Linked DNA regions of Macaca mulatta. The protein of the gene in region 3 interacts with the protein of the main gene of each other region in a pairwise test. Links are inferred from orthologs where the notes say so. Each region holds a gene or a part of one and is shown on either strand. Other genes may lie near its edges. The genes, in order: SDCBP2, STX11, EIF1AD, GLYR1, STAT1 and BEND7.

Region 1 (4,481 bases), on a different chromosome or scaffold from region 3:
ACTCGGTTCTGAAGAGTCTCATGACCCTATGGATTTCTGAATAACAATTTTCTAAAACATTCCTACTACTGAACATGATCCACTATACAAAAAAAAAGTGCCATAGAGCAAGGAGGTGTCCGTGCAGCCAGCAATAGCTACTATTTATTAAGCACCTACTATGTGCCTGGCACTGTGCTCAGAGCTCTAGGTACACTGTCTTTTTCTTTTTTGGAGACAGGGTCTGTCTCTGTTGCCCAGGCTGGAATGCAGTGGCATGATCATAGTTCACTGCAGCCTTGACCTCCCAGGCTCAAGTAGTCCTCCCACCTCAGCCTCCTGAGTAGCTGGGACTACAGGCGTGCACCACCACGCTTGGCTAATTTTTTAGCTTTTTTGTGGAAAGAGGGTTTCACATTGCCTAGGCTGGTCTCAAACTCCTGGACTTAAGTGATCCTCCTGCTTTGGCCTCCCAAAGCACCGGGATTACAGACGTGAGTCACTGCACCCAGCCCTATGAACACCATCTTACCTTCGGAAGAGGACGCTGAGGCTCAGGTGGGGTAAGCAAGCTGCCCATAGACCTGAGCCCTCCCACCACCCAGCAGTCCCTCCCCGGTGCAACCACCGGCCTACCTTCAGCCCGATGACATTCTGCCCATCCACCTCACACACATAGTGGTTGGTGAGGAGCCCGTTGCGGGCCGCAGAACTCCCTTTGACCAGAGAGACAATCTTCCCCTTCTTGATCACGAAGCCGACATGGCCCATGCTGTCCTTGTGCATGGTGACAGTCCGCTGGAACGGCCTGGCGGAAGAGACAGTGAGCTGACCTGAGGACATGGCCGGGGTCAGACGGAGAGGCTGCCCAGGCCTGGCTACTCACCTGTCCCGAACCACCATGACAATCTTCTCGGGTGATGCCTTCTTCACCACCTGATTGGCTTTGCGCGAGCTCCACCCAGCACAGTCACGCCCATCAATCTGCAGGATCTGGTCCCCAAAGCGCAGCCCCACAAGGGATGCGGGGGTGTTGGCCTGGACCAACTGCACAAAGAGCCCCTGGGGGAGGCAGGGTCCCAGAGTCAGCGTCCCTGGCCCACCCTAGGCACAGATCCCTCTTCCAAGCTGTTGTTTTCCTGATACTCCAGGAGCCTACAGAGTGCCAGGGGCACAGCTCTGCATGGCGGGCACCAAGATTACCCCATTTACTTGGGAGGAAACACTCTAGGCCTCATAGTTACGAAGGAGGTGGGTCAGAATTTCAATCCTGGCCTGAAGCTGCACCCCCCAAACACTCTACTGGACCATTCACAAAGGCATGGGTTTCCCTGGTATCTGCTGTCTACACCGTCTCCTGGAAGCTAGATGCCCTGGGCAGTGAATGGCTGGTGGGGAAGGGAGTCTCCTCCAGTGGAGGGCACTGCGCAACCCAGCACCAGCCTCGCCCAAGTCCCGGGGAGGAGGGACTGGGGGCAAGAGCCTGGCCAGTGGGGTTAGGAGGCGCTCTGCACCTTCCTTACTGCGGACCGGACCTCTGAGCTCTGAGGCCCGGCGGGAAAGGGCGTGCAGCTCGAGCTCCTCTTCCCACCCAGCCCCCGCGCCATACCTGGTCGACTGTCCGCAGCCTCAGCCCGGTCTTGCCGCGCTCGTCCTTGCACAGGTGGATCTCGCGCACCCCGGGCTTGATCTCTGCTCGCCGCACGCCCAGGCTGTACCCGGACACCGGTGCTACCATCTGGCCAGGCGCGGGGCCCGAGACCGCTGTCTGCAGACACCAGGGAGCAGGGGGTCAGCCCGGCCCGTGGGGACCCTGTGCCTCAGGAGACACTGGGGTGGGGGTAAGGATGGGGAAAGGAGGATGGAGCCGTCCCCGGGTCCCACCACATCCCCAGTCCACATTTCTCCCCTAGGGCCGAGAGGAGACGTGGCTCCACGCGGCCACTAGGGGGCGTCAAAGTCCATGCCCCTAAAAAGGCAGGGCAATGGGGAGAGAAGGGGCAAGGATACGGGAAGAGGCCCTTCATTTTCCAAGGGAAATTGGCATCAGGAAAAGACTCCTTTAAACCCCACTTAAAATAGAAAAAGTCACAGTAAACAGTGAGCAACAGGGGATAAAAGGACTGGATTTTTGTCTTGAAAAAAATGTAAAAATATAAAAATTAATGACGCAGAAAAAGGCAAAGAACTTCACTCTCCCAACACTATTAAAGACGGTACTGGAAGATCTAGCCAGCACCGCAGGCAAGAAAAGAGGGGGAGTCACACAGATCAGAAGAGAGGAAATAAAACGGTCCCTATTTTTTTTTTTTTTTTTTTTTTTTTTTGAGACGGAGTCTCGCTCTGTAGCCCAGGCTGGAGTGCAGTGGCCGGATCTCAGCTCACTGCAAGCTCCGCCTCCCGGGTTCACGCCATTCTCCGGCCTCAGCCTCCTGAGTAGCTGGGACTATAGGCGCCCGCCACCTCGCCCGGCTAGTTTTTTGTATTTTTAGTAGAGACGGGGTTTCACCGTGTTAGCCAGGATGGTCTCGATCTCCTGACCTCGTGATCCACCCGTCTCGGCCTCCCAAAGTGCTGGGATTACAGGCTTGAGCCACCGCGCCCGGCCAAAACGGTCCCTATTTATAGGTGTCATGATGGTCTACTAGAAAATCCCAAAGAATCTACAAATAAACTCCTAGATCAAATAAAAGAGTTTAGCAAGGTCCTGGGATACAAAATTAACGTATAAGATTCGATTGTACTTCTGTATACTAACAACGAACACGTGTAAACTGAAATTTTAAATACAACACCAGGCTGGACGTGGTGCCTCATGCCTATAGTCCCAGCACTTTGGGAGGTCGAGGCAGGTGGATCACTTGAGCTCAGGAGTTCAAGACCAGCCTGGGCAACTGATGAAACCTCCTCTCTACTAAAAATACAAAAATCAGCTGGGCTGGTGGCAAACACCTGTAGTCCCTGCTACTCAGGTAGCTGAGGCAGGAGAATTACATGAACCGAGGAGGTGGAGGTTGCAGTGATCCAAGACTGAACCACTGCTCAGTGCAGCCTAGGTGACAGAGCAATACTCCATCTCAAAAAAAAAAAAAAAAAAAAAAAAAAAAAGAAAAAGAAAAACAAAAGAAAAGAAAAGGAAAGGAAAAGAAAAGGAATACAATACAATACCACTTACAATCACTCAAAAAAAAAAAAAAAAAAGAAAAAAAAAAAAAGGCCGAGCTCAGTGGCTCACTCCTATAATCCCAGCATTTTGGGAGACCAAGACCAGAGGATCACTTGAGACCAGGAGTTCAAGACCAGCCTGGGCAACAAAGTAAGACCCCCATCTCTGTTAAAAACAAAAACTCAACAAAACTTAAAAAAAAAAAAAAAAAAGAAATACGTGTAACTCTAACAAAACACATACAGAAAATGTATGCTAAAAACGACAAAATACTGATAAAAGATATCAAAGAAGACCTAAATAAATGTAAGATTCTCTGTATTCGTGGGTTGAAAGAATTAGTGAAGCTGTCAATTGTCGCCAAATTGATACACAGATATGACACCATTTCTATCAAAATCTCTACAAGATGTTTTGCAGATCCAGGCAAGGTTAATCTAAACTTTATATGAAAAGACAAAGGAATTTAGAATAGCTGAAACAATGCTGACAAAAAGAATAGCGAGAGGAATCACTACCAAAGTTCAAGACTTATTATACAGCTACAGTAATCAAGACAGTGTGGTATTGGTGAAGGGACAGACAAGTACCAGTGGAACAAAGTAGATAATCCAGAAATAGCCTCAAATGAGTAAAGTCAACTGCTTTTTGCAAGAGTGCTTTCAACAAATAGTGTTGGCTAGGGCGCAACTGTAATCTTAGCAATTTGGGAGGCCAGTGCGGGGAGATCAGCTGAAGTCAGGAGTTCAAGACCAGCCTTTGGCAACAGGGTGAAACCTCATCTCTACAAAAAATACAAAAATTAGCCAGGTGTGCTGGAAAGTGCCTGTGGTTCCAGATACTCAGGAGGCTGAGATGGGAGGATCGCTTGAGCTCGGGAGGCAGAGGTTGCAGTGAGCCAAGATCATGTCACTGCACTCCAGCCTTGGTGACAGAGTGAGACCCCATCTCAAAACAAACAAACAAACAAACAAAACAACAAAAAAAGCAAATGGTGCAACCATGGCAAAAATATGAACTTTGACTGAAACCTAACTCCTTACAAAAAAATTAACTCAAATTCAATCATAAATTTAAATGCAAAACATAAAACTATAACAATTTTAGAAGAACATGAAGGAGAAAATCTTTCGGACTTAGGGCTTGGTAAATATTTCTTTGCAAAGTACAAACCACAAAAGAAAAAAAAATCAATAAACTGGACCTCATCAAAATTCAGAACTTTTAAGCTACAGACTGAGAGAAAATACAAACCACTTCTCTGACGAAGGACTTTAGAATATATAAAGAACTCCCAAAACACTACAAACAAGCCCCAGCTTGGCCAACATAGCAA
Region 2 (5,168 bases), on a different chromosome or scaffold from region 3:
TAAGATGTCCCGCTGTTGGAAGTTGTTTGATATTTTTCTCATTATGATACTGAGGTTATGGTTTTTGGGGAGGGAGACCACACAGGTAATATGCCATATTCATCACATCATGTTGACTACACGCCATCAATATGAGTCATGATTGTTGACGTTGACTTAGAACATCTGGTTGGGGTAGTGTCTGTTGGCTTTCTCCATTGTAAAGCTACTCTTTTCCCCTTTCCACATTGTACTATTTTGGAGGAAGTCACTGTGCACAGCCTAGGGTAGATGATCTACATAAATTATTTGGAATTATTCTGTATAGGAGATTTGTCTCCTCTCTGCCATTTATTCATTTATTTATTTATTTATATCAGTGTAGACTCATGGATATTTTTTACTTTGGTTTGTAATCCAGTACTACTTTGTTCAGTTTACTTCGTTGCTCAGTGGTTCCATCTTTGGCAACTGGGAGCTCTTTCAGGTGGTTCCTGTGTTTAAACATTCTCCCATCAAGACAGGATTCGTTTATTTTTATTTTTTATTTTTTTTCTTCTCATTCAATTGAGGCAGCGTCTCATTCTGTCGCCCAGGCTGGAGTGCAGTGGCGCGATCTCGGCTCACTGCATCCTTGGCCTCCCGGCCTCAAGTGATCCTCCCACCTTAGCCTCCCGCGTAGCTGGGCTCACAGCGCGTGCCACCACGCCCAGTTAATTTTTTTTTATTTTTTGTAGAGATAGGCTTTCACCATATTGCTCTGGCTGGTCTCAAATTTCTGGGCTCAAGAGATCCGCCCCCTTCGGCCTCCCAAAGTGTTAGGATTACGGGCATGAGCTACCGCGCCCGGCCCGATTTTTCCTTTCTTGAGTATCACTTCCTTACTTTTCAGCCTCAGCCTTGTTTTTCAAGGTGCTTTACCATCACCTGACACAATCCACACTTTATGTTTATCTCTCCCCGTTAAAGTGCCGGGACCTGGAGGGAGGGTCTTGGCAGTGTTTTTGAGCGCGGTGTTATCCTGGGAATACAAGGGGCCGCTCAGTTGATATCCAGGGAATGATGAGCCTGGCGGGTGTTGAGGCCGACTGGAGATGGGTTGGCCGGCCGGGTTCTGGGAAGGCTGTGCTCGGCCTCTGTGTGACCGCAGGCTCCTCGCCCGCCTCCTCGAGGGTCCCGCGGATGCAGGACCTGCTGCAGCCTCCGCAGCCACACCCACGCTCAGAGACCGCTTCCAGCGTCCTTGCCGCAGAAACGCACCGGACTGCAAATGTCACCGGCGCAGCGGGGATTCCCGGGGAAAGTCCATCGCACTCCCTGACCTGGGGACCAGAGGATGAGCGGAGGAAGTGTCTTGGGCGGCTAACATCCCACTCCCTGCGCCGGTCTGCGCCGCCCCCGGGAACGCCCCGGGGCTCGCGGGAGGGGCTGGAGCGAGTCCCCGGCTCCGGGCGGTCCCGAGCGCACGGACTCCGGGTGGGGCGGGAACCCGTGCTCTGTGAGCCGGCTGCTGCCGCGCCCCGGCGCTGTCATCCCGGGGCGGGGCCTGGTCCCCAGCTGTGGTAGCTTCCTAAGCGGCGGGGGCTGAGCCGGCGGCGCCCAGATGCGGCCGCGGCGGCGCGGAGCTCGGGCGGCTGTGGAGGAGCCCAGCCTCGGCCGCAGGAGGCGCCGGGAGCAGAGCCGCCGGGAGTCGCGCAACAGGTTTCCTTCCCCATCGCGGCGCCCACAGGGGACGCGCGCCCTGCGGGGAGAGAGGCTTCTCAGTTCGCGCTCTCGTTCCGGGTCCAGGTTTGTTTTTCTCTCCCTGAGCCCCCATTTCTCTTTCTGACCCCCCATTTCTCTTCCTGACCCCCCATTTCTCTTCCTGACTATTCCCCGTGCGCTGAGAGATCCGGGAGGCGGGCGGGGGCACTGTCTGGGCTCGGGACCCGCGGCTGCGCCTTAGTTGGGATTTTGGATCTGGCGCAGGTCCTCACGCCGCCTCTGGGCACCTTCGGAAACACAGGATTGGGTTCCTCATATAAAGCGGAATGATTTTTTAAAATTACTTTTAATTTCAGAGGCTGAGGGATTTAGGATTTAGTGCTTCACAGGAATTATTTTAGGGATACCTGTCGGTAGGCTGCCTTTTTAAAGTGTCCACCTAAGACTATTTTATTTTAAATCGAAAGACTGAAGTGTTTTTGTGTTATCACCTCTTCACTTCCTATTAGGGTGACTGTGTCAAAAACACCAGAATGGGTACTTCTTGACTTGAACTTGGCAGTGTCACTCAGTAGCCAAGAAAGACGGAGAAATTGATAGAGCCTTGGAGCAGTCCCTTCGCAGCCCACGTAAGACTTTGTTTTAGAAAAATGGAGAGAAGTAGTGGCAATGCCTGCGAGAACCACGCCGTCCTGAGAGGGAATTCTGCCTTTTTCTAGACTCCGCTGACACCAGCTGAGATCTGTATTACTTCCTGTGGTTCTCACGCGCTTGTTTCAGCCGTTTCTCAGCAAAGGGAGGAGCTGTTATTTACAGGTATCCAAAAATGAGTCACAGGGCTGCTCTCTTAATTGTGAGACTTTGTTAATGAACTTTTGAAAAGCGAGGCTTGCTCTGTCTGTATTTAAAATGAGACTGTAGATGTGAAATGCCTGCCCTGCTGACCTGGGGCAGTGGTATGGGAAGTGACGATTGAGTTTTCAGTTTCCTAAGGCGCCTGATGTTACAACATGCCAGTAAAGGTCACTGGGTTGATTTAAGATAACCACTAAAATCATGTGCTTTGCCTCAGAAGCCCAGGAGAAAATTAATTTCATTATTCAATGACCATTTTGCTACCATTTTCACTGAATAGTAGAAATGTATCATTTAATGTGGTGATTGTAACTCTCTAAAATCAAAATATTTCAGACAGTGTGTGTTTACTAAATTGATGCCAAAACCACATGGTGCTTTTTGAAGCGGGTGGGTCCCAGCGGGAGCAGAGAAATTTAAAAGTTGAAGCTGACAGGCCCCACTGTGGTGGGTAGCAGCACCTAGGAAGGGACTGCACACTATCTCAACACGGTAGAGAAGGGAGCACCATCTCTACTGGAGCTGAGTTGAGCTGAATTCAGTCCCAAACAACAGTTAACAGGTACTTTCTCTGTGCCAGCCTCTTCCCTGAACCTTGCTTGTACAACCATGAATAATAGGATCCTGCTGACAAGGTGCTAGGGTAAATCTATACCCAGAGTGAAGTTTCTGTCCCAATATAACTCAATCTGCTGGGTTCCAGTGTATTTAAAGAGTAAACTCAGCAGATTACCATCCCTAGATCATTGCAGTCACCTTTAGTTAGCAGCGTGACTTTTAGGAAATGGTATGACTAATTAATAGGTTGTTTTGTTTTGTTTTTTGAGACAGAGTCTTACTCTCTTGCCCCACACGGGAGTGTAGTGGTGCAATCTTGGCTCACTGCAACCTCCTCCTCCTGCGTTCAAGCAATTCTCGTGTTTCAGCCTTCCAAGTAGCTGGGACTACAGGCACCCACAACACCCAGCTGACTTTTGTATTTGTAGTAGGGACAAGTTTGGCCCTGTTGACCAGGCTGGTCTCGAACTACTGACCTCAGGTGATCTGCTTGCCTTGGCCTCCCAAAGTGCTGGTATTGCAGATGTGAGCCACCATGCCCTGCCTAATACTTTATAAATTTGTAACACTATATTGAAGCAAGTTTTTGATCATTGTTTTTGTAGTTCAAATCAATGTTTTTTAGCACATTATAGCCTTGTGAGCCAAAATGAATAAATCTACCATATCACAGTTTACTGTTACAATTGAAATCTGCTGAGACACTTTTGAACTTGATGCCCAAGTATCAAGGTTTCCAAGTTTCCACAGTTTGCTAAGATATCCAACTAATAAAGGCAACACTGCTAAATTTCAGACAACTTTACCTTAATTTCCAAACTTTATTCCTCCTTTGAAAGCCCTGAAGTTACTTTTTCTATGACAAAGGGTTGAGTGTGTCATTCAGCATTGTACTCCCTGAACTTGTCCCAGGCTCGACTCATGAGAAGTGTTGGAAAGTGTCATTCAGCATTGTACTCCCTGAACTTGTCCCAGGCTCGACTCATGAGAAGTGTTGGAAAGTGTTTATTGATGAAATAATGAACCTTCATGTAGGAGGATGAATTGGCAGGCAAGTGGAAGGCTCAGTGACCCAGCAGAAGGAACAGCACCCATAGAGAAGTGAAACAGCACTGGACATTCAGGAAACTCCAGCCTGTTTAGTGACAGCACAGAGCGAGGGCTGGGGAGACAGGAAGGGCCAGATCACAAAGGCCCCATGAGGGTTTATAGTACTGAGCCCTTTGAACAAGTGAATGATATTGTCAGGTGTGTGTTTAAAAAATTATAACAAAAATTGGAATTTAAAAAATCTTAGATTAGATGACAGTGGCATTGACTTTAGGGAGACACCTTGGAAACTGTTGTCATATTGCAGATGGGACATTAAAGAAGGCCTGAATCGAGCAGTGACAGTGCAGACGGGAAAAGAGGAAAGGGGCTGGTAGAGGTTTAATAGGTGGAACCCAGTCGGGTGTATATTTAGAAGTGGGCAATGAGGAGGTGGGAGAAGTTAAGATGACTCCCACATTTCTAATGAATGACTAGGATAAGAATATCCTACTCAGTGGAAGAGTAGATTTGGGCTAAAGGGTGGTGAGAAGCTCACACAGTACTTGGCACATAATCAGTGCTCATTAAGATTTTTCAAATGAATGTCAGTAATAGCTAAAATTTGTTGAGTACTTATTATGGGCCACACACTATCCTAGGCTCACTATGCGCATTAAGCCTTTTACTCCTCAGTACCATCCTGTGAGATAGGCACTCAAATTAACTGCTTTGACTGGTGAAGAAAGTGCAGTGTTAGTAACTGACAGAGCCAGAAATGCATCCCAAGCACTTGGTTCCATAGCTTGCATTCTGAAGCACTCTGCTGTGATGTGCTGTCTTGATGAATGAATCAATGAGGATTTGGACTTTGTGGTAAGCTCAGGTTGAAGTCACTTTCCTGCCCCTAATAATTCTTCCTTATCCCAAGAATGGTCTTGATGCATAAGATGGGCCCTCAGTATCCCTACTGTGCTACATGACATCCCACCTCCAACCTTCACTCCAAGAAATACCTGATTCATCTAGGAAGAAACCTGGAA
Region 3 (5,264 bases):
GTCTCAGGTGGCCTCCTCCTCTTCGCTCTCCTCCTCACTCTCATGATACTGTCTGCGGTTTGTGTTAACAAACAGGTCAGAATCATCTTCTGAGCTGGACTCCTCTCCTGATAACTGTGGCTCAGCTGGGAGTTCTGGTTGAGTTTGTCTGCACGAAGGGAAAAGAGCAGAGTTAGCCCAGCACCTTCTGAGAAAACCAGATCTACAATCAAGGAGTTCCAAAAAAAGGAGGACCATCCGGCCCAGCAGTCAGGGCCCTACAGCACCCTTTAAAGACTAAAACAAGGGACAGAGGCAGAGCAAACAGTGGGGAAACTTGGCTAGAGAAACAGGCTAAAGACTGACCCCAGTCCCCAAACATGTGCCACAGCCATTTGTTTCAGTCAGGAATAATGATTCTACGACCACCAACTAATGCTTAATGAACCCGCATCACACACCAGATGCTGCACTAAGCAATTTTACAAGCCATCCACTTCTTTAATCCTCACAATGCTCCCATTTTATATATAAGGAAAATAGAGTTGGAAGGAATTAAATGACGTGCTTAAAGTCATTCAGCTTTAAGTGGCAAAGCCAGGATTTTAACCCAGAGAATCTGACCTTCAAGCCACATTCATAACTATGTACCACATACGTAGGAGCTCTCAACAGATACCCTATGTAAGGAGGAAAAAAGGCTCTATTTTTCCCTCAAGGCACCAAAGCATGAACCCCTTATTTTCCATGTGTCCCACCGCAAGGCTTGTTTCTCACCTGTTCCTGTTGTTGTGTTTCTCAGCCACTTCAGAGAAGGCCTCAGGCCTATGCCAAGAGATGAGCAAAGTCAGGGAGGACAAATCACTTTCTCACAAAAGAGCTGTTTCCAGCTGTCTCTGCCTGGGATGCCATGACCTTCCCTCCCCTAATTCCCAAGCTAGGAAGGCAATGCCTTCAGAAGCCAGAGAGTCAGTGATCAAGGGGACCACCTACCAAAAGCCCTCCTTCTGCAGGGAGCGCACGTGGTCCTTGCAGAGCACAAACGAGATCTCAGCCTTCACCTTTTCTCCCTCTTCAATGGGGTCAACAATGAGAAAGTCTCCTGTAGGTAAGAAGAGAAAAGGCAAAGTCAGGCCTGCCTGCAATAAGGAAAGCCAAAGCCATAGGAAGTGGTTCTATCTCCTAGAGAGGGCTGCCTCTCTCACCTCCCTGTCTCTCTTTTTTTCTTTTTTTTTTGAGACAGGGTCTTGCTCTGTTGCCCAGGCTGGAATGCAATAGCATGATCATAGCTGACTGCAGCCTCCACCTCCCAGGCTCAAGTGATTCTCAGGCCTCAGCCTCCCGAATAGCTGGGATCACAGGCACGTGCCCAACTAATTTTTTACTTTTTGTAGAGACAAGATCTCATTATGCTGCCCAGGATAGTCTCAAGCGATCCTCCCACCTCAGCCCCTCAAAGTGCTGGGATTACAGGAGTGATCCTCTCACCTCTCTTGATCCAGATGTTCTTGCGGTATTTAGAGGGCATGCTCACCAGGAAGCGCTGCCCTTGGGCTGTCTCCACCTCATGCAGATTGTTCCCTGGGGTCCTGAGTACCTGGTTCAGGAGAGACCAAGAATCAGTCTCATCGGTCAAACACTCTCTCAGCCACGCGCACCCTGCCACCACCCCAGGGGCCCTCCAGGGCTGGAGGGGTGGGGAGCAGAGCAGCTTGTGCCCAAAGCCACTCACCCTGACAATCTGCTGCTGGTCGGAGGGCACGATGTGCTCCCCCAGCACCTCCTTCACCACATGCTTCCTCTTGGTGGCCTGAGACATGCTGAAGTTGTCCCAGGGTGGTTAGGAACGAAGAGACTGTCAACTCCTCCTCCTGAGTTCCTTGGATGGCAGGCTCAGAACCCAGGACTGTTCTGAAGATGGGGAGGGGCCTTTTACTGAGGGGTGACACGGTGTCTTGGTTAAGAACATGGGCTCTGAAGTCTAACTGCCTGGATTCAAATCCTACCCTCATTTATTTCCTAACTATTCAACTTCTCTAGGTCCCAGAAAAATAACAGCTAACTCAGCACTGTTACAGAATGGGACAACAGTGCATGTCATGTAAAAGTAACTCCGGCAGGGAGCTGTGGCTCACGCCTGTAATCCCAGCACTTTGGGAGGCCGAGGCGGGCGAATCACGAGGTCAAGAGATCCAGACCATCCTAACACGGTGAAACCTCGTCTCCACTAAAAATACAAAAACTTAGCCGGGCGTGGTGGCGGGCGCCAGCTACTTGGGAGGCTGAGGCAGGAGAATGGCGTGAACCCGGGAGGCGGAGCTTAGAGTGAGCCGAGATCGTGCCACTGCACTCCAGCCTGGGCAACAGAGAGAGACTCGGTCTCAAAAAAAAAAAAAAAAAAAAAAAGTAACTTCTACAATCTTAGGTACTGGTGTAATGTAAAACTATAGGAAAGTTCCAGATAAATCATCCTGGCAACCTCTCTGGAAGGAGTTTGAAATAAACCGTATCTTTCTCAACACGCTTGTACACCCCAAGTCTGGCACAGTCACACAACAGAGAAGTTCAGTCTGGCAACACACTACAGCCGGAGACAAATTAGGTGGCCACCGTGATGGTCCAAGCCAGGAACTAGTTAATTAAAGGTTGAGGTGAGCAGGCTTGTCTGCGACATCTGCATTTTTCTGACTTGCGTACTTAGAAGACGAGGACCAGCACCCTTAAGACTGATGGTTTCCGAAGGAAACACTGTCATCTCTAGTTGCCGTTCTCCTTCCTCCTCCCTGTCTATCCCGGAGAAAAGACCCTCAGAGAAACACCCACACTCAGTCTCTGGCCCTGGGCTCCCAGGAACGCTGCCGGAGCAACCCCGCTGTCCAGGCTGGACGCTGAGAGAGGATCGTCCACGACTCACTTCAAGGCTGAGCCAAGAAAACACAGTAAAGGAACTTGCCGGCGGCCGCGACGGTAGCGTCACCTCGAAATCAGGTCTCCAGCGTTCCCAGTTCCCACCAGTCCCACTGCGAGGAGTGCGACGTGAGTCTGAGTCGGATCCCTCCGAAAACCGTCTTCCGGCGCTGTCTCAGAGGCCTCCCGGCCACCCGTCCCCTCCCTTGTCCGTCTTCTAACTCTTCCCTACGCCAGGTCGGTCAAGCCTAAGTCCTTGAGTTCCGGGTCCGGGCAGCACAGAAAGGAAGTTCTCTCCCTGTAGGCCTCTCTCCCTCAGAACTGCTCGAGGAGCGAGACCTCAGAAGACAGGGCTTCCCGCGAAGAACCGGAAAGGAGCGCCTACTAAGGACGCCGTCGAGGTCCGTGGCGCCTCAACTCTATAGCTCTAACTGGCTAGAAGGGCCCAACGTGGAAGGTTTTTTTTTTTTTTAAAAGGCGGCTGAGGCGACCCGGAAGCGGAAATGGAAGAAAGTTCTAGTGGCTTGACGTATCCGCGGGAGCAGCAGGGTGGCGGGAGGAACCGTTACGGGAACTGAAGCTGCCGGTGAGCGCGAGCCGCGGAGCAGGGCCCTGGCTGGAGGCCAGAGGGATTGCGGGGAGAAGGGGAGGAGAGGGGCCGCAGGCGCTGTGGCGGGCCCTGGGGGAGAGTTTGGCCGCGCTGCGGGGAGGGGGCGGGGTGCGGCGCGTGGAAGCCGGGCCGCGGGAGGGGGCGGGCCGCGGCTGCGCGCGATGGGGGCGGAGCTGGGGTGCGGCGTGTGCCCCGTGGACGCGTAGCGGGTGTGCGCAGCGCTCGGTGTGCGCTTCGCCCTGTAGGTAGAGACTCTGGTTAGCTTTCCACGCCAAGTGGCTGTTCCAGGCAGTCAGTACCTTCTTGGCTCAGCCAAGGTCACAGAGGGAGTGACAGCTTCCGGGCAGCCCTGGCTACTGACTCTGGGAATCTTCCCACTGCCCCGCTTGCGCCACCTGTTAGGCAAGATTGTTTTTCTTCTGGGGCAAGATCAAAATCCAGGTCCTGCAGGAAGAAACTCCTTTTCAGAATAGTAGGGAAGAGTCTCCCTGGATCTCGGTTTTCTCCTTTCAGGATGAGGGGGATAGAGCAAGCCACCGGAATCCCTGGCTTGGCTGCCTCTTACTGTGAGATTGCTAGTGGGCTCTTAGGAGTTCCAGGTCTTCAGCCCTAATCTGCCTTTCTTTTGGGATTCCTAGATTAAGCCTGATCAAGATGACAACCTCCCAAAAGCACCGAGACTTCGTGGCAGAGCCCATGGGGGAGAAGCCAGTGGGGAGCCTGGCTGGGATTGGTGAAGTCCTGGGCAAGAAGCTGGAGGAGAGGGGCTTTGACAAGGTGTGGGGTGGCCGCCTGTACCTGGTGCAGGCGGGGGTGGGAGGGAAGTGAGTCCATCTGCTAGGGGGTGGACAGTGGGGTATAATCTGAAGAGGCTGCCAGAGCCTGGGCACCTGGTGGAGAGGAGATGGGGGCAAAACCCACGCTGCTTCTTGGGCTTGTGTACTCTGAATGGCACAGGAATGGCCGCCTTGCTCTTATCCCTCACTGAACACTGAGCAGCACACCCCTTCCTTTTTCCCTGTTTTGCAGGCCTATGTTGTCCTTGGCCAGTTTCTGGTGCTAAAGAAAGATGAAGACCTCTTCCGGGAATGGCTGAAGGACACGTGTGGCGCCAACGCCAAGCAGTCCCGGGACTGCTTCGGATGCCTTCGAGAGTGGTGTGACGCCTTCTTGTGATGCTCTCTGGGAAGCTCTCAATCCCCAGCCCTCATCCAGAGTTTGCAGCCGAGTAGGGACTCCTCCCCTGCCCTCTACGAAGGAAAAGATTGCTATTGTCGTACTCACCTCCGATGTACTCCAGGGTCTTTTGGGAGTTTTCTCCCCTAACCATTTCAACTTTTTTGGATTCTCGCTCTTGCATGCCTCCCCCGCCCTTTTTCCCTTGCCAGTTCCCTGGTGACAGTTACCAGCTTTCCTGAATGGATTCCTGGCCCCGTCCCTCACCCCCCACCCTCACTTTCAGTCCGTTTGATACCATTTGGCTCCTTTTTGGGCAGAACAGTCACTGTCCTTGTAAAGTTTTTTAGATCAATAAAGTCAGTGGCTTTCATGACTGGGCTTTGTGCACTGAAAAACAAGTGGGCTGGGAGTTGCCTCTTCTCCAGGGACGGACCATGTCTCCCTCACTCCTTATCAGTAGAGACCGAAACTGGCAGCTTCCCTTCCACTCCCAGAGGGCAGTCATGCTAGCCATGTAGGCCTCAGGCAGGTGACTTGTGTCTCAATCCCCGAGTGATGTGGGAGAGGGTGTGGGTGGATCTTTTCCTGG
Region 4 (5,281 bases), on a different chromosome or scaffold from region 3:
GACAGAGTTAAACTCCATCTCAAAAAAAAAGGTCAAACCATCTAGCTTGACCCAGGTAAGCAACTTGACATAGTGATGAGAAAGCTAAACAAATCACTAGTAACTCAAGTTAATACACGTTCTTCCTCTCACTGCAACATGCTATATGGTCAAAGAGTCTCAGATTAATGGTCCTGGTTTCCCCAACTTAGGACAGATCCGGCAAAAAGACCTACTATAATAATGTCAGAACAAATCACTTAGTTTTACAAATGAGAACAGGATTGAACAATTACTTTCATTAAGGTAAATACAATTTTAGTTTTCATTGTATACCTCATGCATGAACCACAATGATATATAGCATTAAAAGAGAACTGAACATGGCTTTTATAAAAATAACTGCCAGCTGGGGGTGGTGGTTCATGCCTATAATCCAGCACTTTGGGAGGCCAAGGCAGGTGGATTGCTTGAGTCCAGGAGTTCCACATCATCCTGGGCAACACGGTAAAACCCCCTCTACAAAAAATCAGCTGGGCATGGTGGTGCACACTTGTGGTCCCAGCTATTCGGGAGGCTGAGGTGAGAGGACTGCTTGAGTTGGGGAGGCAGAGGTTGTGCTGAGCTGAGACTGTGCCTCTGCACTCCAGGTTGGGTGACAGAGTAAGTCCCTGTCTCAAAAACAAACAAAAAGGAACTGCCTTTGGAGTTGGGTAAAGAAACATGTGAGAAACTACTTCGATGTGATTATTACATTTAGAAGGTAAATGAACCTAGCTCTTGCCTGACTTAGTTATAGGCCTAGGACAGTTGTCTAGGGCAATTTCTGCAAGAAATTGCACCTTTATTTAGGTATGAAGCCAGAATGAGATGCCAGTATTATACATTATAAGAAGACTGAACTAAGGATCCTTAGAATATTTTCAAAGCAGCTCAGACTCCAGGTAACACAGAAAGAAAGGTAAAGGGAGACTCCTGGTGAATACTACTCACTGATCTTCTGTTCCAAAAAATTTCACAAAGAAGCATTTCTTTCCACGAGGTTTCTTCAAGTCCTTTGGTGGATTAACAATCTGGAGGATAAAAGGGGGAAAAAGGTTGGCTGGCAACGCGCAGCCCACTGTCTAGTGGCTCCACATTGCTCTACACAGCTCTATGTTGGGAAGAAAAAAGTAAATTAAAATGACTTACAAATAAATATATTTATATACAAAACAGAACCCAAGGCCTAGTACTTGTCTAAATCTCCCATTTTTCTAGAGATTTGTGGAAATGTGTAGATATTCTACAAGTTCCCAATATTTAACATGTAGCACAGTGCTCAGCAGACACAATATCCCTTTCACTGTAGAGGCCCTGTTTTACAAGCAGTTAAAACTAAGATCAACAACATCTCCTGCCCCCCACCAACCTGCCCCGCCCCAATGTGACCCCATCATTACTGAAAAAAAGCAGAGGACCCTCTTTGAAATACTTCCTGTGCAGGAAGAGTTGAGACAGGACATAGTGAAAACAAAGGACAACTGAGGCACAGAAAACACCATATTGCAAAGAGACCATCTAAAGACACTTCCTGGGCTCCAAGCAAGAATATAAAAACACATTTGGAAAGCAATGATGGATCACCTCATGCAAAATCTGGAATGCCAACTTCTGCAAAGAGGCACTGGAGTAGCACATATGGTAACATGGAAAGAAGATTTAAACTTAGTTGGGACAAAAATACTTTGGCTTTTCACTAACCTACATTTAGATTTCTCTTCCTGGATAATTTATATTTTCTTCTCCTTTTGTTACATTTAAGCATAAAGCTAAATTCAGATTAGAATTATTTCCGGGGTTAAAAAAGAAACTTCATAAACCTTCTCTAAATCAAGAAATAAGCGTTTAGAGCAGATTTAATGATCTGGAATATACTGCATTGCCTTTAAAAAAAATAACTGATACTAGGAGAAAAAAAATTCTAAGTGCCATCTGAATGGGCCCAGTTTAACTCAATACTAGAAACTGAGAGGAATGCATCTTACATTCTCCACCTCCTCAAACCCAACTTCAGATATCTTCCTTTAGTAGCAACACACTCACCTTTCCTGGCCAAGGAGGATACCGGCCGAGTTTCCCCCTAGAGAAAAAACACAGAGTTAACACTCGACCTGGAAAAGTCAGCCTATCTCCTTCAACCCACTCAGTACGCAATTTATTTTCCTAAATCTCTGCTGGCATCCTCAAGTGGCGGAACAAAAGCTTCCACAGCTGGGCCCAAGACCCTCAGAAGCAAAATGCAAAATTGTATACTTATGTGCACAACGTGTAACCATTCTTCTGTTGACAAGGAATACAAAACAACACAACTGTCAAAAGTCACTTGTCTGGAGCTTCTTAATGACGGGGGTGGGAGGACAACTTCCTCTGTAAACACAGACTTTCCCTCCCTAAGTCTGGTTTAATTCAACAGGAGACCTGCCTGGCTTTGACAAATGCTAATGGAAGCCTTCCTCTGGGTGGAGAAACAAGCTATGCAGCTCGAGGGAGGCGGCGACAATCAGCCTTGGTTCGGGCGGTTGTCTGGGACAGAGAAGCAGTGCACCCAAGCCTGCACTGGTCACTGCCAAGCCATTGGTTGTAAAGAACTACCCCGCCGTTTCTTCGCGGGGCAACGCCAGAAGTCCGGTTTAGACAATCCCGGCTGAGCCGCCCGCACAGGTCGGCTGCATCGCAACCTGGGCTTTAACCGAATGGCACCGGCGAGATGGACTCGCAGGTTCGGTCCCCGGCGCTTCTGCTTTCTGGGAAGCCCCAGCAAGACCCCGGGAACAAGTCGTCCAAGGAAGCCTCGCGGCACTGGCGGGTCCTTTCTCAGGGGCCGCCAGTATCTGGGCCCCGAGTGCAGAACCCTCCCGGGCGGCCTCGGGGATCAAAGCCGCTGCCCGCCGTGGCCACCCTCGGCCTCGGTCCCCCGGGACTGGACTGCCCCTTCCGCCCGGCGCCGCTCGGAAGCGCCGGCACCTTCTCTTCCCCTCTCTCCGCGACCTGGAGCGCACAGAAAGACAGCTCCGGGGCCGGCAGCGAACCCCGCACCCTGGCGGGCAGCTCCCCGGCGCGTCTCGGTTGGCCCGGCCGCCCGGACTCACCACACCAAGTCGCCGAGCCGCAGACTCACAGCCGCCATCTTACCACCCAACCACCGCCGACGCACGGGCCGCCGGGAACAAGCAGGTCGCCTCGGCGCCGCCCATTGGAGTGGGTTCGACCACGTGATGGGGGCCGGCTGTCATCGGCCACGCCGCTGCTCCGACGTCACCGCGCCTGTCGGGGATCATTGGCTGGCCGAGCGGCACGTGACGCGAGCGCCGCGGTCTCCGCGCGCCGGAGCGCAGAGACTCCCGGCTCTTTCCCCCTCCCTCCGGCTCGTGACAACGAAGCGTCCGCGGTCTGAGGCGGCGGCGGCGGCGGCGACGGTGCGACCGGCTGAGCGCGAGAGGGAGCCGGCCTCGCGGCCTGCCCCGCCCCCGGGCCTTGGACTCCGCGCTCCTCCCCTCTCGGCGCTTCCGTTGCGGCCGTTGGTCCTGCGCGGGCCCCGGGGCCATTCCCGAGCCCGAGGCGCTGGTCGGCCCCGTCGCTGCGCCCGTGAGCTCCCGTGACGGAGCTCAGCGCGGCCTGGAACTCAGCTTCCGCCGGGTCTGGGCTCCGGCGCCCGGCTACTCCTCTTGGCCGCAGACCGGGAGGCCCTGGTGTCCGCGCCCGTCTGCTCCTGCCGCCCGTGTTCTTTGGAGCGCTCCTCCCGACGGCCGCTTTCGGAGGCGCCGTCTGAGCGCGTGGTCCCGCGCCGCAAGTTCTCCCGGGGCGCCCGGAGGCTGCTCCCCCGACCCCTTGGTGTCCTCAGAGTGGCTGTACGGACGTCGAGTTGGCATTTCTTCGCTTCCTCCTGGGCCGGCGCGCGGCGCGGCACACCAGGCTCCCCTGGGCGCGGGGACCCGGTCATGGGCCGAGGCGCGGGCCGCCCGCCCGCAGGGAGCCACGGCTCGGGAGCCGACCGCTAGCTGCGCCGCCGCCCGGGGACCGGCATGAGGACCGCCGCGGGGGGACGTCTGCGGCCCGCGTCGGCTCTGGGGACAAAGGTGCGTGTCTTTGTCGGGTCCGGGCTCTCCCGTTAGCCTTGCCGTAGTTTGGCACTTCTGAAAAAGTTGTGACAACAGGAAGACAGATGCCGGGCGTAGTTTGGACACTTGAAAACTGAACCATGAAGTGGGAAGTGTTAGCTGCGGTTGAGCGCAGCGCCGGCCCAAACTTCAGCAGACCAGGTAGAAACACAGTTTTGCAAAAGATCCCAGACCTGATCACAGACTCCACAGTGTCAAGGAATGACTTAGACTTGGTGTCGGGCTCTTGTTGAGTTCCAGCCTGCTGGAAAAGGTGGCGGGTCCCCACGCGTTTCCCCAAGGCATTTTGGTGGTTAGAGGTTTCGGTTGCAAGTCGGTGTTTAGCGTACTGGGTCGTCCCGCAGCCTGATTTTTTTTGGGAGATCAGTTTCCCTGAAGTACCAAGAATTAACTTCATGAACTGTCATTTTACTGTGTATGTATTTTTAAGACAAAATGATTTTGAAAGCGTATTTGAGATACTAGGGAATAATTTGATAAAAATAACATGTTCCTGTTTAAAAATTCTTACTTTGTGAGGAATTGAAGGATGTTTTAATAACTTAATTAAAAATATGAATCTTGGCTGGGCATGGTGGCATAAGCCTGTAATACCAGCGTTTTGGGAGGACGAGGCGGGCGGACCACCTGAGATCAGCAGTTCAGAGACCAGCCTGGCCAACACGGTCAATCCCGTCTCTACTAAAAATACAAAATTAGCCGGGCGTGGTGGTACATGTCTGTAGTCCCAGCTACTCGGAAGGCTGAGACAGGAGAATCGCTTAAGCCGGGAAGCGGAGGTCGCAGTGAGCTCAGATTATGTCACTGCACTCCAGCCTGGCGACAGAGCGAGACTTTTCCCCCACGAAAAAAAAAAATCTTTAATCAACATTGCACCAAAACCTAGAGGCATTCCCGTTAACGTCAGAAACGTGGTACATTTCTGCCACTATTAGATAATATGAATGTATTGCCTAATATCCTGAAAGTTCTAGCCAGTGCAATAAGACAGGAAACAAAAATAAGAAATGCAATTTTTGGAAAAGGGAAGACAGAATTCTTATTTCCATGGATGATAGGTCTGCCTCTTTTGGGGGAAAAAAAAAAGCCATTAAAATAAGAATTCAGGAAGGGTACTCATTATAAGTTGGAATACACAATTT
Region 5 (4,481 bases), on a different chromosome or scaffold from region 3:
TGGGGGAACCACCCCCATGATTCCATTATCTCCACCTGCTCCTGCCCTTGACACATGGGGATTACTACAATTCAAGGTGAGATTTGGGTGGGGACATGGCCAAACCATATCACATGGAAATCAACAAGTGGTTATATGCAACACAAAATGCCACCTAGGATACCACGCTCTGCGCTCTATGGAAAAACAAAGGGAACGAGGCCTGTGCCAGCAGTAGAAGCTTTGTTATTTGAGGAGTAAAACTAACATGCACTGAGTACAGCCTAGATCAAAAACTTCTTCACACCACTGAAGCTTATGTAAGGAGAGATGGGTGGGGGCAGGGCTTCTAGGTGATCTGTGACCAGCGCAGGGCAAAGAGGAGGCCAGAGGCAGGGAAAACAGCAAAGCAGATGCTTCCAGGTGATGCAAGAGGCAGCGAGGAGCCACTGCAGGTTCTGTGAAGAGAGTGGCATCAGCAAGCAGTGTCTCGGCAGGACCAGTCAGAGATGTGGAGCTGAGGGGCAGGAGGAGACACAGAGAGGGGAGGCAAGGCCGGGGACAGGAAGAGAGGAAGGAACGATGATTCTGGCTTTACTCAACTGAAAGGAGAAGGCAATATGCTCAGTCTAGACCCTAAAAATAGAAAGCTAGTGAGTAAACCTAGTGATTGCTCTTCGTCTTCCTTCCTTACAGTCAACTGCTAACGGTAACACAGGCTGGGGAAACGCAATTTTATTCGCTTGCAGTAATGACAGAAGAAAACCTTTTAAAAGTGTCTTCTTCCCTGGGAAAAGTATCTACTTCACTTTATGATTTTACTCGATTCCAGTTCAAAGCCCTGGGACAGTAGCCCTTCATCAGGAAAGGAGCAGGCAGGGTCATGGCTGGCTAAGTTCCAGAGGAGATGCTAAACCAGTGTCCCCAACTCTGCTTGCACACTGAGAAAATGACAATCCTTAGACAGCACAGTGGGAAAACTAGAGGGCATGTGTGTCCCTACAAGAGGCGCCTGTGGTCTAAGAGGACCACTAGGGGGCTCTAGACACCCCAAGGCCTCCCTGACCACCTGAAGGGCTTAGGGGTGTCAGTATCCCTCAAGGCACATGGGGCGCACTGGGCTCAGAAGCTCTGCTCTAACCCACAAGAAACCTGGGGTACCTACAGGCAATTCACAGAATAAAAATAAATGGCTGAATATTAATTGTGATTTTTAAAAAATTGGCAATATAGAAAATAACCTCATGAGATCTCTGGTCCTTGGACCCTTAGCAATTGTCCCAGGCCACCTTCCCTCATGTTCACTCTCTGATCCCAAGTTCAGCTCCTGTTGCCCCTCACCTGGACCACACTAATATGCTAACAGTATTCCAACTGGTCTTTCTGTCTCTATCCTATCCTCCAGGATGTGGCCAGAGCACCCTTTCTAAATCAAAGATCAGAGAAATACATCTCCTGCTTAAGAAAAAAGCCTGCCTTGGCTCAGCAGGACAGCAGCATACGGCCCACACTCTGAGCATGGTGCTCAGAACCTGCACCATCAGGCTCCAGCATCTCCCGCCGGGTCCACTTTCCTTCCCGTCTCCCCTGACACCTCACTCTCCCGCCACCCAATACAGTCCCTTCAGTCTCCCACGTGTGTGCCTTTGCACATCATGTGCTCTGTGCTGAAAAGTACTTCCCCTTGATCTATATGGAGTAACCCTAGTCACTTTTGAGTCAGCACAAGGCCACTTCCTCTATGAAACCTTCCCTGGAGATGCTTTCCTTTGTCCTCCACAGAACTCTGATGGCCTTTTGCTAGAGCACCTGGAAACTTTCACTGTACGGAATTATTACCATGTCTACATCCCCCTTCCACACTGAGAACTCCTTGTTGGCAAGGGCGAAGAATCATTCATCCTTGTGTGCCCAGGTCCTACAGTGCCTGGCACACAGTAGGCATTTAATAAGTATTACTGGATGGATGACTGAATGAATGGTTCCTAACAAACTATTCTGTAAGCCTAGAAAAATGCCTCGAGCTATCTTGTTTTAAATGAAACATTAGGAGTCAAGTTGTTAAATGTGTTCTATAATGACCATGTCACTGATGTTCTGTACAGTCAAACGACACATCCCATGGTACAGGAGTGATCCAAACCAAGTAGACGTGGCTGAACGTGGCAAGAGTCATGAATAACACTGTGCTTTCCAAGGGAGTGTTTCCAGGGTAAGCAGAAGCTGGATTACGTCAAACTCTATACCAACGTTTTAACAGGGTCCATTCAACTAACACAGCTCAAAGGTGCATTTATGAGTTTATGTGGTTAGCCAGTCAGCTGCCAGTTTTCCGCTTTGGAGAATCTTACCAGTTCTGCAGCTGATCCAGGCAAGCATTGGGCGGCCCCCCAATACAGGCGCTCTGCTGTCTCCGCTTCCACTCCACTAGTTCATCATTAATCAGGGCATTCTGGGTAAGTTCAGTGACATTCAACAACTCGATTATTTTGTGAACTACTTCCTAAAGGCAGTGGAAGAAACAAAGTGAAATAAACTCATTTTTAATCGCTGAATTTTAAAATATTTTTTAAAAGAAAAGCAAATATCATTTCATTCTCAACTGGGGCTCTAAGCCAGGAGGTTATAAAAATAATTTTTCTTCTCTTCTAAATTTTGATTCCATTATTTACAGTCTATAACAAAAGCGGCATGCTGTTCTGGAAAGTAAATAACTACCTTTCTTTTATTGTCAAGCATTAAATACATCTTCTTGAGTAACAGCTGTTCTTGTTTCTGATCACTCTTTGCCACACCATTGGTCTCGTGTTCTATAAATTGAGAGACAGCCAGTAAATATATTTATATAAAGAAGACAAAACCAACAAAAGCCAAGATTCATATAAATATAGGATAAAGATGACACAAATGCTGCCCAGTGACAGGTCAAAGTTTGGCTTTCTTCAATCTTTATTAAACATGAAAAAAGTCCTAAGTATAACAACTAGGCAAACTGAAACAAAATACTTGTTTTCAGTGGCCCATGTAAATCAGACATAGTAGTATCTGCCACTGAAGACACTGTCAGGTAATTACCTAAATAAATGTAAATAACAGAATTCAAAACTTCAGGTAAAAAATGTATACAAAGCGTATCTGTAGCTTTCAAAGAGAAGCAGATGATTAGGAAGCGGTAGCTGAAGTTGCTGTCTCTCATACTTTTTACCTAAATCATACTGATAATCTCTGCCTATGAACCATGCTATACCCCAGATGATGAATACAGCAACAGCAGTGCCTTACATGTTCCACACAATGCACATTCTTGAGTTCTTTTCTGTTGCTACTCTCATTAAAAACATCAACAGTAACAAAATAGAGTAAAACTGCTTTAAAACATGAGAAAAATAATGAGCTCATCTGCAGTGTACACATGTGGACACGCCATGTTTGAAGAAACTTGAGATATCAGGGCAGGGGAACTCCACATATCTATCACTCTGTGTCAGTCTGTGTCAGTGGGCTAGGTGCAATAAATAAGCTGAGTAACACATAACCAGTAGTTATCAAGTAGGGGTCACTGACCCCTAGGGGACTTTTGGTAATCTCTGGAGACAGTTTTGATTGTCACTAGTGAGGGCTCCTGGGTAGTGCTACTGGCACCTGGTGGGTATAAGTCAGGGATGTTGCTAAACATTCTACAATGCCAGGACAGCCCCCACAACCAATTAGCTACCCCAAAATGTCAACAGTATTGGATGTTAAGAAATCCTGGCCTGGGTTATCAAGGAAGAATTCAGAGTCATAAAATACTCGGCAAATAGAAAGGAGTAATCATCTTCGTTATCTAGTGTAAACAGAAAAAATCACAGCCAATGGGCACCACTTCAGTTGTGAACCCTTACCTCTGTTCTGCAAGGTTTTGCATTTGAAGTCATATTCATCTTGTAAATCTTCCAGGCTCTTGATTTCATGCTCTATACACTACAAATAAAGATGTAAACATGTTTTCTACTGATCAGCAACTTCCAAATACTTTAGGCAACAGAGTATTGCTTCTATGAAACCCAGAGAAACATGAAAACAATTCCAGCTCCCTCAAAAAGAGATCTGATTTGGAGAGTTCTAATCATACACATGAAATAATTTCTATTTCATTAATAAGTATGTAATAACACTTTTAAAAAAGCCAACATACAATAATTCTCAAACTGATTTGTATGTCCTTAACCTGGTTCCAGCACCTAAATTTTGATTCTTCCTCATCATTTTGAGACTACCTCTGAGATTATTTAAAAACTCCATTGTGAAGCCCACAGCAGTGGGGGGAAAAGCTCATAGAAAATTTCCTCATTCCTTCCAAATAAGTGACCATACATCTCAGCTTTACTGGGACAGACCTGGTTTCATACTTGCTATAATTATAAACAGTGCCCTCTTGGCAGCTCAAATGCATCTCCACCTGGACAATAAATTGTATGTGCATTCTACAAATAAGCATCATTTGTTTGAGATTTGGTCAC
Region 6 (4,481 bases), on a different chromosome or scaffold from region 3:
CATGGTTTTGTTCCAATTATATGTTTTATTATACTTTATATACCTTAAATCCTGTAATAGGCATTATTTGGGAATACTATAGAAAAATTCGCCAGAGCAAAACCATGAAATACTTCAAGATAACTTAGTGACTGTAGTGGTACAATTATTTACATTCAAAATTGTAGCAAGATTGTAATGTTACAACTTTAAAATTGTAAATAATCCCAATTAAATACCAAAGTAGTCACAGTTATATGTAATGTATTTCTTTCTTTTTTTTTTTTTGAGACAGGGTCTCAGTCTGTTGCACAGGCTGGAGTGCAGTGGCATGATCCTGGCTCACTGCAACCTCCCCCTCCCAGGCTCAAGCGATTCTCACGCCTCAGCCTCCCAAGTAGCTGGGACTACAGGCATGCGCTGCCACGCCCGGCTTTGTATTTTTTAGTAGTGATGGGGTTTCGTCACGTTGGCCAGGCTGGTCTTGAACTCCTGGCCTCAAGCAATCCACTCATCTCAGCCTCCCAAAATGTTAGGACTATAGGCGTAAGCCACCACGCCTAGCCATATTTCTACAGAAAACATAAAATCAATATCTATTTTCAAACTGATATGGGGGAATTTATGTTTGCAACTTTTACTAACTTGATACTTTTCAAGGTAAATCCACTGTTGCTGCTGTATACTGGGAAACTGAACACTGTTTACCCAAAACTTACTGATGTGGGGTTTATTAACTTCACACATACCTAAGGGTATTTTATTTCTCTTATTGTCTCTTCCATGGTAGTAGAGTTAGGAAGGTCTTAAAGAATATTTCTAGTCACTATTCTAAGTACCATCTTCATCATTTTTAGAGGACAAAACCAACCCTTTTCAGCTTGTTATAAATCATTTTCTAATTTTAAAGAGAACTGACTTTTTATTTTTATGGAGGAGACTTTAAAGAGCTGTGTCCCTCTAACCTGGATGCATGCCAGCGTGGGAACTTTGATACTGGCTTATGTAATATTGAGAGAAAGAGAAGACACCCATACATCTCTGGGGTCCTTCGCTGTCTCATCAATGTCTCAGGATGGCTTTTCACGCCTCTGAACCGCAAATTGCGGTTTTAAAAAAAGTCAAAACAGTTCTCTTTTTCTTGAACGATATTGTGAAATGAAAACGAATGGAAAAAAATCCTTAACTTCTTTAGGAAACTGAAAATGCTTTCTTACCTTTTTCTTGTTCTCTTTGTGAAAACAGAGATCTGCACATCTCTACATAGTTTTAGAACAAATATTATAGCATCCAATGTGGCTGGATAGAAAACTAATATGACCACAAAAAGCATCAGGTTTTTTTCTTAAGCTTTGAAAAAAAAAATTGTCATTTGATTCTTTTCTTAACAATTAGGAAACTTAAATTGAGAAAATTTTACTTTAAAGGAATACTTTCCATTGCTAATGAAGCACGTTATAAAATATGGATCACGGGGTTCAGTACTGGTGTGGGATGCTGGATTATCACTGACCCTCCCCCGCCCTTGCCTTTATCTGGGACTCTTCTGATAATGAGAAAGGTGAAGGAGTAACCAAGAGGATATGTTAGTAACACACCATAGGACCAGGAAGCTTCTTTTAAAGACAATGGGGAGCTCTTTCTGCCCTAATGTTTGTTTTTTTTGTGACAGTAATATCTGTATATGGGCACAAAATGATCGCTTTTACTTCTTAAAGGGCTAAAATCTCTACCAGGAAATCTTCACTTATAATATAGAACCCCCTGTCTTTCCTAATTCTCAATTCTGTTTTTTAATAGTCTTCAACTCTTTCCTTTGTGTCTCCCTGTCTTTTAAAGTAACTCAGCAAAGGCAGGTAATTATGGGAGGGTTTAATAAATTGAACTCAACACACTGAATATTTAGAAATAAAACACAATGGTACAAACCCCCATGAGAGCCTTCTGAATGTTTGTTGACAACCATACCATTGGAGCTTGCAGCAGGGTGGGGCTGGCTTTGGAAGGTTCTAGAACGGGTGCCATACTGCCCTGAGAACTGTCCACTCTGGGGCGGTAGCTCATTCCACACACCACGTGAAGACAGGTGGAGGCTCTGTGGGGCCTCAGCAGAGGAGTTCAAACGCGGAGGCCAGACTAAATCCAGGTCCTGGGGCTCTTCTTTTAGTTTCTCTCCTTCTTTGCCAACTCGCTGATAGATCCGCCCAGTGCTGTCGTTCAGCAATCTTCTCATCCCTGTAATTTGCTTTTTTATTTCCATGCTTTCATCTCCTAATGGAAACAGGGCCAAAGTTAGCACTCTAAATTAGTGAAAAAGAAAAACAGTTCACTAACCAAAAACAAGAGAAAGAAAAAACAACCCTTCTTTGGAAATAAGATGACTGATTCGATACACTTAATCTGTAAAATGCAAAGGCAGGAAAACTGACTACGGTCTGAAAAAACCCACCATATTCCTGGTGCCTCTCATTTTAATCTCTGCAAGTCTCCTATGATAAAAGAGGTTTCTTGAGAGTGTGTCATCAGGAACAAACATCACATTCCCTCTTTGGAAGCATTTTCTGAGTGAGAAGGTGATGAGGAAACAGGCTGAGACAGAAGGTCAAGGATAGAACTGGACAGCGGAACCCCTCTACTCTGATGTGCCACAGCCACCCGTGAGGAACGGGCAGGTCACTAACGCGCTCTGCTGTCTTGTCAGCTTCAGCAGGCGGGGCGAGGACAAGGAAGCAAGCCTGGACTGGCAGGGATGCAGGGCTTCACTACTGACACAATGTCCTCCAGGATGACACGCTGCTGCCGCTGGAGACATCACCTTCAGAGAGGATGGCCGAGGAGAGAGAGAGGCGCTGAGTGTGGCAGCATGGCGAGCAAGGGGGCTTTGTCTTTCTGGCACCGATTCCCATCACATCAACCTGGTGATGACCGAGGGGTCCCTGCCACTCGAGGTCACTGGCAGTACCAGCACTGGAAGGGCGGAAGTGCAGCCTCCCCACCCCGCCCTCCCCCCAATGCCAAACGCACTGCCACCTCCCCTGCAGCGTAACTACGTGTGAGAGGTCACAGGCAACTGTGAAATCCCACCTCACCTACACTGACTTCTTTTTTTAAAGATTTTTCTCCCAACTCAGGAATTTTTTTTAAATTAAAGAACTTCTATATTGCACTGGGAGTACTTAATAAATATTACTTAAAGATGTCTATAATATTGTACAGATAGAAAATATTTTCGGCCGGGCGCGGTGGCTCATGCCTGTAATCCCAGCACTTTGGGAGGCCGAGGCGGGTAGATCACCAGAGGTAGGGAGTTCGAGACCAGCCTAACCAACATGGAGAAACCCTGTCTCTACTAAAAATGGAAAATTAGCCGGGCATGGTGGTGCATGCCTGTAATCTCAGCTACTCAGGAGGCTGAGCCAGGAGAACCCAGCTCACCCTGCGGGGAGGAGGTTGTGGTGAGGTGAGATCGCGCCACTGCACTCCAGCCTGGGCAACAAGAGCAAAACTCCATCTCCAAAAAAAAAAAAAAAAAAGAAAGAAAATCTTTTCTATCAATAATAATATCAAAGGATAATGATATCTATTAGGAGCTATTTCAAACACATTATCTTCTTAAACTGTGCGTCAGCCAATATCTTCATGAAGATGAAGAGAAAAGGATTTTTTTTCCTCAAACCCAGAAGATAAAATAAAATCTTAGGCCACTGCTGGGCATGGTGGCTCACATGTGTGATTCCAGCACTTTGGGAGGCTGAGATGGGCAGATCACTTGAGCTCAGGAGTTTGTGACCAGCCTGGCCAATATGGAGAAACCCCGTCTCTACAAAAAGGACAAAAGTTAGCCCAGCGTGGTGGTGTGTGCCTGCGGTCCCAGCTACTTGGAGGCTGAGACAGAAGGATTGCTTGAGCCCTGGAGGCAGAGGTTGCAGTGAGCCGAGATCATGCCACTGCACTTCAGCCTGGGTGACAGAGGCAGACCCTGTCTCAAAAAAAAAAAACAAAAACAAAACAAACAAAACAAAAAAAAATTCTTAGGCCAGGGTATGTGCGTGTAAACATTCATGCAGTTACTCTAATAAATGCTTGAAATTTAAACTGTAAGAAAAAGAAAAGGCTAACAGACAGCATCTGTTAAGAAAAATACAGCTCCTACAAATAAATACAGCACATTCAATATAATGATGTTTTAATGCACTTAGGATCATATAAGCGAAGTTTCGCTGTAGAACTGGTAACTGCACAATAACCTAGCCATTTTGTGCTTTCAAGTTAGATATTTAGCTTATTAATACATGTGTTATGTTACTAAATAAGGAAGGTTATTTTGAATTTACTGTTCACCATTTTGAAGTAAATATCTTTAGTTTTTTAAAATGATACTAAAAACATTACAGAATATATTAATTCTGTCTAACTGAACATGGGTAAACACAGAAATAACACAGATTTCCAAATTTACAATATTGCTATGTGTTGTTGGCATATGCTTGAGAGGAGACATA

Evidence for each region.
Region 1: the proteins of EIF1AD (region 3) and SDCBP2 interact in a two-hybrid assay, tested with the Homo sapiens proteins (3 studies listed by BioGRID and IntAct). The two-hybrid records come from large-scale screens. The link is inferred for Macaca mulatta from reciprocal best matches to the Homo sapiens genes EIF1AD and SDCBP2.
Region 2: the proteins of EIF1AD (region 3) and STX11 interact in binary tests that used the Homo sapiens proteins (3 or more experiments, as listed by UniProt). The two-hybrid records come from large-scale screens. The link is inferred for Macaca mulatta from reciprocal best matches to the Homo sapiens genes EIF1AD and STX11.
Region 4: the proteins of EIF1AD (region 3) and GLYR1 interact in binary tests that used the Homo sapiens proteins (3 or more experiments, as listed by UniProt). The two-hybrid records come from large-scale screens. The link is inferred for Macaca mulatta from reciprocal best matches to the Homo sapiens genes EIF1AD and GLYR1.
Region 5: the proteins of EIF1AD (region 3) and STAT1 interact in binary tests that used the Homo sapiens proteins (3 or more experiments, as listed by UniProt). The two-hybrid records come from large-scale screens. The link is inferred for Macaca mulatta from reciprocal best matches to the Homo sapiens genes EIF1AD and STAT1.
Region 6: the proteins of EIF1AD (region 3) and BEND7 interact in binary tests that used the Homo sapiens proteins (3 or more experiments, as listed by UniProt). The two-hybrid records come from large-scale screens. The link is inferred for Macaca mulatta from reciprocal best matches to the Homo sapiens genes EIF1AD and BEND7.

What each region holds. Positions count from the first base shown.
Region 1 is NC_133415.1:82,838,727-82,843,207, reverse strand, and holds part of SDCBP2 (syntenin-2), read right to left. Parts: intron 1,748-4,481; coding exon 1,589-1,747; intron 1,042-1,588; coding exon 866-1,041; intron 788-865; coding exon 616-787; intron 1-615.
Region 2 is NC_133409.1:49,410,698-49,415,865, forward strand, and holds the start of STX11 (syntaxin-11), read left to right. Parts: upstream 1-1,672; 5' UTR 1,673-1,767; intron 1,768-2,192; exon of another isoform or gene 2,193-2,499; intron 2,500-5,168. UniProt on the Homo sapiens protein: SNARE that acts to regulate protein transport between late endosomes and the trans-Golgi network.
Region 3 is NC_133419.1:8,414,944-8,420,207, reverse strand, and holds the start of EIF1AD (probable RNA-binding protein EIF1AD), read right to left. Parts: upstream 3,050-5,264; 5' UTR 2,803-3,049; exon of another isoform or gene 1,886-2,802; 5' UTR 1,799-1,885; coding exon 1,712-1,798; intron 1,577-1,711; coding exon 1,468-1,576; intron 1,082-1,467; coding exon 973-1,081; intron 805-972; coding exon 757-804; intron 149-756; coding exon 4-148; 3' UTR 1-3. Other genes in the region: BANF1 (barrier-to-autointegration factor), read left to right, coding at 3,390-3,415, 4,135-4,273, 4,526-4,672.
Region 4 is NC_133425.1:6,108,496-6,113,776, forward strand, and holds the start of GLYR1 (cytokine-like nuclear factor N-PAC), read right to left. Parts: upstream 3,149-5,281; coding exon 3,111-3,148; coding exon of another isoform or gene 2,715-3,110; exon of another isoform or gene 2,102-2,714; coding exon 2,065-2,101; intron 1,082-2,064; exon of another isoform or gene 1,053-1,081; coding exon 973-1,052; intron 1-972. Other genes in the region: uncharacterized protein LOC144337857, read left to right, coding at 2,715-3,620. UniProt on the Homo sapiens protein: Cytokine-like nuclear factor with chromatin gene reader activity involved in chromatin modification and regulation of gene expression. Acts as a nucleosome-destabilizing factor that is recruited to genes during transcriptional activation.
Region 5 is NC_133417.1:96,038,543-96,043,023, forward strand, and holds part of STAT1 (signal transducer and activator of transcription 1-alpha/beta), read right to left. Parts: intron 3,943-4,481; coding exon 3,864-3,942; intron 2,790-3,863; coding exon 2,698-2,789; intron 2,483-2,697; coding exon 2,331-2,482; intron 1-2,330. UniProt on the Homo sapiens protein: Signal transducer and transcription activator that mediates cellular responses to interferons (IFNs), cytokine KITLG/SCF and other cytokines and other growth factors.
Region 6 is NC_133414.1:15,042,035-15,046,515, forward strand, and holds part of BEND7 (BEN domain-containing protein 7), read right to left. Parts: intron 2,251-4,481; coding exon 1,909-2,250; intron 1-1,908.